Linked DNA regions of Oryzias latipes. The protein of the gene in region 2 binds, or shares a complex with, the protein of the main gene of each other region. Links are inferred from orthologs where the notes say so. Each region holds a gene or a part of one and is shown on either strand. Other genes may lie near its edges. The genes, in order: ireb2 and fbxl5.

Region 1 (3,817 bases), on a different chromosome or scaffold from region 2:
ACAGGTTTCAAGGTGAGGTGGGATCTCACTCCTGAATGGCAAGAGTGGTTGCCATGGATACTGTTGTACATCAATGTTTGTGTTAAGGGAAAGCTATAAACACCCGCTGTCAGTTTTTCACATTTTTTGTGAGAAAGAAATAACATGGAATCTGGATGAAAACATTTGGATTTAAAGTTGTATTTTAAAAAAAAACATTTTAGAATTTTTAGCCAATTGCACCAACGGCTTGATGTACCTCATGGAGAACTTGTGGAAATGCTGCGTTTATGTGATGTTTGAATGATCGTAAGATAGAAAAACAACAAATGTTCCAACCCCACATGGATGCTAGAGCGGAGTCCCCAAACTTTAACTTGTGAGGTCAACATTTGATGTTTTTTTTCAACTTTTATCTGTCTTTTATTGTAAAGCCCTATAATAAAGTTTTATTAATTCATGGTCCTTTTAATAAGATAAATAACACTATTTATGTAATAAAAAAAATGACCAAATAACTGTGATTTTTCAAAGACCAAAAGTCAGGAAAAAATAGAAAAACCAATAAATAGAAGATCCTCTCCCGTCGTTGACCAGCTGAGACTTTGAAGCTGCAGCTCCTCACGTCTCACAGTTTGCGCTCAAACTGAGCAGCTGAGTCCTGCACGTCTGTTTCTCATCCAGTAATAATGAAAGAAAGCACATTCTTCTGTCTTCTGCTGCAGCTACGCATATAACTGCGTTACCTTTTCACCAGTACAGAGTTCCCTCCTTTATTGCAGGAGTTACGTTCTAAAAATAACCATGATCGGTGAAATCCACAGAGTCTGATTACAAACGCTTATGGCAGTAAAACTCCTCACTGCACACTTTCTACACTTTTCTCAGACAGACATGAACATTTTCATCCTTTTCTCTGTTTAAATTCTGAAACTTTCATAGAATTTAGGTCAAGGATCTTAGAATGAAAACAAAGATCTGATTGATCACAAATTTCTGTAGATCTGAAGAGCTCCGCGTTTCTGTACAGGAGACACGGAGGAGATTGATTGACAAGGTCTCCATCCAATCAGGACACAGAACAGGGTGCGCTGTTTAAAAAAAGTAGCACAATCGCTCTAAATGAGTGAGCTAAACCGGGAAAGATGATCTGCGACGTAGAAAGGGAAGACTGTCTTCTGTTCTGTTTGACAGAGATTTTAGAGGGTTTCAGGCTGGAGCTCAGACTGCAGAAGAGGGGGATAAAATTTCACGTTCTATGCGGGTCGTGATAGTGTAGCCAGATCAAAATAAATGATATAACTGATATTGTTCAGTGGGCCGGACCAAACATGGAGGCGGGCCGGATCCAGCCCGTGGGCTGCAGTTTGCCCACCCCTGGTGTAGAATAAGCTTGAAGTATTTAGCACTGATCAGTATGGTAAAGAGAATCAAACAAATATCTGATCCCTGATTCCTGATGCAACATTTGATTTTGATCAAGTGTGAAACTCCGTGATCAGATCAGGCCGTCCCTCCCTGGAAATAACCCCATTATTAACGTTGGGCAGGACAGAGTCAATAAAAAACCAAAGCTTGAAACTGACCGTCTGCTCTGCAGGTATTTGGCGGCGGTGCTGGCCCTGGCGATGCTGCCCGCTGGCGAGATGTGGTCGGTGCTCACTTTGTCCCCGAGGAAGAGTAAGGCGTGAGCGTTCTCTATGGACTGAGGAGCGGGGAGCTCTTTGCTCTGAGACAGGGGAGAGGAGGATGAAAGGCGAAGTCAGGGTCCCGGCGCTCCCACAGAGAGCTTTCAGAGGACTTACCAGCTTGCTGAAGAAAGGTGGACAACGGATGTACGTGGACTTGGGATCCCACGGGAAAACCACCGAGTCTGGACTTTCAATGTTGTTCCAAAACGTGTTCCCTTTCTGGAAGAGAGCGGAACATCTGTCAACATTTACTCACATTAAGAAACGAACTTTCCTTTGCATCTCCATTAAAAAGACAGCTTTAGTTTCATCTCCTAACCTCCATCCTTCCCCTGAGATCCTTGAAGACAGAGGAGATGACCGTGTCCTCCTCCGTCTGCTGGACCTCCTCTCTGGACGGCCAGATATCACTAAGATACACCTCCTTTCCGCTTGAAGATAAACCTGATCAAAGACACACAACAACTCTATTGTTACTTTGCAAAAGAAAGAAAACACTACAAATACACCAGAGCCACTATTTTGTAATTTTCTCCCGTTTAGTCCAATTACTCAGGTCGCGGTGGGCGGGGCTAATCGCCGCAATTTGAAGCCTTCTGTTCACATTGATGATTAAAATTGTTATTTGACAGTACAGAAGTTATTTGTTGAAAAAAACGTTCTAAAGAACTTTTATTTGTGAAACAAATGCTTGAGCCTGGAAAATGGTTTGTTCTTTTTTTTCAATGTATAATAGAGAATTTAATTGTAAAAAAAATAAAGGTTTCTACTTCACAGATTTTGTCTATCAGGGGTTCTTTTTGGAACGTAACCCCCCCGAAAAACAAGGGTTTACTGATCTATATATATATCTATATATATATATAGATATAAATGTATGTGGTTTTTTTCTTTTCTTATTTCTTTTTTTTAGTTGTCAAAAACAGGGTTTTTTTTGTCCATCAGCAGGACAAGAGGACCAGCATCCTTATCAAAAACCAAAAAACAAGGTCAGCTGTCATGAGGTGTTAAAGATGAGGTCAAGTTTTACAAAATGTCTTTTTAAGGATTAAACACAAAAGGCTCAGTTTGCAGAAATTGCTGGCAACGTTCTTTTTCAGCAAAGTCGGAGATTACCCAACCTGGAAGGATCATCCTAAAACCAAAACTTTACTTTTCTCCTCAACACCTAAAAGACAGCGAGGGAGATTGTTGAATCAGATGAAAAAGTGTGAAGAAGGCAGATTTTGATCAACTTGAGTGTCTAAAAAAGCTTTTTTTTTGAGTGGCTTCAAACATCGGGTCATGTTTCTTAAATAACTTGTACAGCTGGCGCCGGCTGGATGATTTGAGGCGTTCAGACGCACAACAGAGCAGAAAACAGTCATTTCTGCATAAACGTGTGTGTGTGCAGCACACTGAATCACCACAAAAAGCCCATTCACTGTGATTTAAGCACCAAAATCCTCCCATGATCCTCACACGCAGATCCCCGCCCTTACCTAACGGCTCCTTCTCAAAGTCGATTCCCACAGTGCCCGCAATGGCGTAAGCCACCACCAGGGGAGGGGAGGCCAGGTAGTTGGCACGCACGCAGTCGCACAGGCGTCCTTCAAAGTGCCTGTTGCCGGACAACAGACCGCAGGTCACCAGATCCCCCTGAAATGAAGACGTTCATTATTAATGGGTTAAAACAAACAAGCAAATAGAAAAAAAGCACAGAGGAGGATCACAGATGGTGGAAAACTACCTGTTTGATGGCGTCCACGACGGCGTCCGGTAACGGTGCTGTGTTTCCAACGCAGGTGGCACAGCCGTAACCGATCACCTGAAACCTGTGGAGATATAAACACCAACGTTAGTGAAATAAGTCCAGACAACTTGAAAAAATAAAAAGACCAAATCTGAAAGTTTACTGGAAAAACTCCCCCAGTGAGCAACAAACGTTGAATTTGAAGTTTTATGGATTTATCATAGATTTGAAATATTTTACTATTTTAAACTAATGGCTTTTAATATTGATGGCTTTTATGGCTTTATTTTTTTTATTGTGTGTGTTGAATGGAAGCAGCTGGCCGCTTTTTAATTTCCTTCAGGATTAATAAAGTTTCTTCATCTCTTATCTCTCTGAGAGAAAACATAATCATATCACTGAAAAAAGAATTAAA
Region 2 (4,482 bases):
AACACAACTCCATCCATTCATTCATTTTCTATGTCTGCTTAATCCTGTCATAGGTCACAGGGATGCTGGAGCCTGTCCAGCTATGGTTGGGCTCCACTCTGGACAGTTTATCAGTTCATTAGAGGGCTGAACACAACTAACCCCAAATAAAGCCTTAACTAGTCTCATATTTTGGTAACGGGTCATAATATCTATCTGTTGCTGTTCATTTAAAAAAAAAACTGTTTCTCTGCTGGATTACATAAAAAGCCTTTTTAAAACATGACTGAAGATAAGACAAAAAAAGAAGTGTGTGGCCTTCAACAGACGCTTGACTCATCTTTGTCATGCACTTAACTGGAAACCTGTAACAAGTTTAGTCATTTGGACAAACACTCACCGTAGTCTGTCTTCTCATGATCCGAATATTTAAAGGCTTTCTGCAGCTCCTCAGCCTGCGACCACAGACGGAATCCCTTCAGCACACCGGCAGCACAGTCCCCGTGCTGTTGGCTGTGGTGCTGGGCTATCACCTTTTTCTTGATGTCTTTCAGCTCCTCGTAGGTGAAGTACTCCATGAGCATCGGCTGAAACACCTGCAACACATTTCCGTTAAAACACAGCTTGACGCTGAAAAGGATGAACAGGTGACATTTTTGATTATTGCTTATCCCGCATGATTATCTTGTACCTCCTCCTCTTCCTTCATGTGGGGCAGGAAGTCCTGCGTGAACGCCTCAAGTCTCTCCTTCAGCTGACGAGCATAGTTAAGCTGCTCACATTCATTCTAAAACCACAGAACAGACAGAAATCCCAGATCTTAGATCAGCTGCTCTTGGACAGTCATAAGCAGACGTTTACCACGCTTTAGGTATTTTGCATGATTCTAAAAGTTGCGCAAGGAAAATTTAACTTCTTTGTTTTCCTCGTCTGAGCTGGCTTCCGGCTCACGACTGTACAGCCGGTCAGCTCCAATATTGTAAAGAAAAAACCTGCATAACTATAGTTAAAAGACCACCGGGAACACTTTCAAAATAGACCAAGGATAATCGGGCTGGGTCTCTAATAGAATTTGAACTGTTAGTTTATAACCATCCTAGAGCCCTCAGGTGCAGGTCTGCTGGTGATCCCCAGGGTCAGAACAAAAAGCCATGGCAAGCCCACATTTTCAGCACTGTGGGCCTCACCAGTGAAGCAGCCTGCCTACTGATGCAAGGGCTGCATCCTCTGTGGAGGTTTTTAAGATAAACCTTAAGTAATCTTTTCAGCTTAGCTTTTAAGTTTTACAAGTAAGTTTTACATTTCCACATGTTTTAATACAGATTCATGGACTGTATCTCTGCTGGTTTCTGTATCCTGCGAATGTGTGTTGGGGGCTTTTATTATTATTATCGCACTATTTTTACAATTATTTTTATTGTTTTATTTTTTCTTTGAGGTGTACTGCAACAAGAAAAGTTTAATTGGAATTTATTCTCCCCAATGGTTTGCCACAGGAGCTAGACTTTTAGATGATCAGAGATTGTGAATACGAGTCAAATCTTCCCACACTCAATGTTTTGTGCTTTTTTTTTAAACAGATATTTCAACAATTTACAAATAAGTCTCTGCTGCAAATTAATATCTGTAGAAACTTTCAGACAGGAAGCAGGATCTCACTCCAAACTAAATAAAGAGATATTAGAGAGTTTGGCAGAGCGGATGTTCCAATTTACACAAATTCACGAATCCAAGAAAGCAGCTGAGATTGGAGTTTGCTGGAGGCTTGAGCCAAAACAATAACTTTTTATCTACTGTTCTTCAAAGGCTAAAGTTCGTGTCTGTTCAATAAATTATAATTATCCCAACAAAATGACAGCTCTGATGTTGCTCTAGTATCTTGTTAGTGGTTAGCCTGACAGTTACTCTAATAACAGATTACTACACACTGTGGATCAGCGGGTGCATGCATGCATTTGCTGAAGGGGTTATTTAGTTGCATCGAGTGCATGAAAGAAATGTAGGTTTTTGGCATATTTACCTTGACATTGTGCAGCCCCTTTTCAAACAGGGACAGCATCTCTGACAGTTTGTCATCAGAGTGCACGTTATAAACTGTGCAGCAACGTTGTTGCAGCTGGCCAATGATGTACTCATTCTCAATCTGCTCGTGCATCTTGAACTCCTTGAAGGTCGCGCACAGAGACTTGAGGAAGGAGCGGAAATCATTGTTGTTGGAGAAGTTAGTTTTTGACAGCTGTGGAAGAAAAAACAACAGACTCGAATGAAATAATAAAAACTGTGGAGCCCAAACTTTTTCACATGATTTTACCACAAGGGAGGAGGAACACACTGATGTAGCCACACCAGCTAACGTAAGCGCAGCCGACATCACATAAAGAAGATTATATATATATATCATTGGATGCGAGATAATACAGGCACTAACGCTTAAGGGTGAAAATATGTGTGTCCGATAATTAAAGCATGTGAGGCCGCCCCGTAACAACACGTTGCACAACAAATCCTGCTGCGATTCCGGCTAACAAAACAACTGATAGAAGATCTGCTGGAAATCACTTTGAAACCCGTAAGGATCCAGGATGAACTTATCTAAGTGTAAGCACCACGTAACAATAAACAGAATCGAGGCAGACGTGACACAATCGTGCGACGGGTCACGTAACACAAAGCTAGCAAACAAGCTAGCAGCCGTTCCCTCCTAATTTGACCACAAACCATCAAAATACCCCGTAAAACACTTCTTTTGTTGTTGTTTTTTGTTTTCTAAACGCACCTTCTCGCAGTACAGTCCCACTAGCTGCTTCATCCGCCAGTGTGGGCCGGTAAAAACATCCACCTCTTCTGGAAAGGGAGCCATCTTCACCGGACTGCGTCATCTGCAGCGCCTAGACTCGGTTCGGGGGCGGGCCTGGTGTTGGTCACGTGACCACGAGTCTGCGCAGTATCAGATCTCACACAAACAGCTGTAGATTATTTACGTTTTGAATGTGGGGAAAAAAACAGCGTATACGTGTACGCAAGATGTTGTTTTTAAAGTAATGCTGTGTAGAGATTAATGATGACATTTAAATTTGTTTACTACATTAAATAACGTTCTTTGTATTTAAATTCATATTTTATATTTCGTTAAATTCGTTATTTTTATTATACGTTTACACATGACATATTTAAATTTGTCAGTAGTACATGTGAAATCTAAATTTGTTTTTTTTGTTTATTTCGTTTTCTTTCTAACATACAGGCTAAATAAATATATTTCCATTTGTGTTTTAATAAAGATCATAGTAAAATTGAATTTATGTTGCAGTGCACACCTGTGCTGTTGTGTATCCAGTCAGTATGTCAGAAAAGGTATATTTAATAAATCTCATTTTGATCTGGGATATTAACTGAAAAGCTGAAATTGTTTTGTTGAAAGGTGTTCACTTTATAATTTACACAGGCTGGTCTCATCAGGTCATCTTGCGAAACAAATTAACAAATCCCACTTGAAATGTTCTGTTTTATTAATAGCGTAAAATTTGCTGTCCTGCCACATGATAAATGCTATTTTTTTCCTCATCAAGGTTAAAAAAAAGGCTAAATTACCCCGTGGGATAATATTAAAGTGTCTTTTTAGTTCCCAAGGGAAAAATCCTGTGGCTGTACAGTTAGTATCGCTTTTGTTTTTGTTATTGGCAGGAAGAGAAAAGGCTGCAGACTGTTAAACAGCATAATCAATTATTTCACCATGAATCTGACCCTGCACCACTGTAATTAAATGCTCTTTACAGCTGCATTAACTTGTTTCATATTTTGTTGTGTTTTTTTTAGCAAGCCACTCTTTTAGTACCAGAGGTGTTTATTATAAGGAACACCTTTTTATGACATCGCCTAAGCAGAATTTGTTTTTAGTAAATCCCTGATGAGCTTTACTGTGACAAGGTTTTGAATTTTGATGCCTCACATTTTACGTGCAAAACTAATCTTTTTTTCTCGCATGTAAGATACAAGTGTGTCTTAGAGACAAACAAAATAAATAAACCTTAAATCATTAAATAACCTGTGTAAAGGATTACCGTCTTGTACTTATGACTAAACTATGAAAATAAAAATAAAAAGCAGAGGCATATTTCACAGCCCCATAACTCTGTAAAACTGCAGAATTAATCTTTTTATGAGTGGCTGACTAAAGGTTAATACATATTCAGAAAATGTGGAAACAAAAAAATAAAAATGTAATTTTTACAGTTAGGTTTTGTGAATGCAGAAAGTCCCCTCAGTCATCAAACTAAGGCTATTATCTGGCGATTTATAAAATCTTTAATATGTACATTTATTACACGTATTTACACATATGGCACAAAAAAGTAAGGGTTTTTAAAATGTATTTTAACAAAAAGGAAATAATTAAATAATAATGGACAAACTCTGCAGTGTATAAAAGAACAACTTTTGTCTTCTAAAGGAAGATTGTCAACTTCAACAAATGACTGGTCCTTTTCTTTCAAAGACACTTCA

Evidence for each region.
Region 1: the proteins of fbxl5 (region 2) and ireb2 are in contact, whole or in part, in a cryo-EM structure (PDB 6VCD), measured with the Homo sapiens proteins. The link is inferred for Oryzias latipes from reciprocal best matches to the Homo sapiens genes FBXL5 and IREB2. Residues at the interface, in NP_036293.1 of Homo sapiens: Asp656, Glu657, Tyr661, Cys662, Asp663, Asn664, Ile665, His669, Ala670, Asp671, Thr672, Ala673, Ser674, Gly675, Cys676, Gln677, Asn678, Leu679, Gln680, Cys687, Arg688, Ser689, Gly690, Glu691; in NP_004127.2 of Homo sapiens: Asp89, Phe90, Ser129, Asn217, Val220, Glu221, Arg224, Arg228, Ala758, Gly759, Ser760, Arg763, Asn764, Thr777, Pro778, Arg779, Asn782, Ser783, Tyr784, Gly785, Ala786, Arg788.

Annotation. Positions count from the first base shown.
Region 1 is NC_019864.2:10,482,592-10,486,408, reverse strand, and holds part of ireb2 (iron-responsive element-binding protein 2), read right to left. Parts: intron 3,485-3,817; coding exon 3,400-3,484; intron 3,309-3,399; coding exon 3,152-3,308; intron 2,115-3,151; coding exon 1,990-2,114; intron 1,890-1,989; coding exon 1,785-1,889; intron 1,709-1,784; coding exon 1,566-1,708; intron 1-1,565. UniProt on the Homo sapiens protein: RNA-binding protein that binds to iron-responsive elements (IRES), which are stem-loop structures found in the 5'-UTR of ferritin, and delta aminolevulinic acid synthase mRNAs, and in the 3'-UTR of transferrin receptor mRNA.
Region 2 is NC_019862.2:28,339,549-28,344,030, reverse strand, and holds the start of fbxl5 (F-box/LRR-repeat protein 5), read right to left. Parts: upstream 2,891-4,482; 5' UTR 2,840-2,890; coding exon 2,756-2,839; intron 2,216-2,755; coding exon 2,000-2,215; intron 767-1,999; coding exon 671-766; intron 576-670; coding exon 380-575; intron 1-379.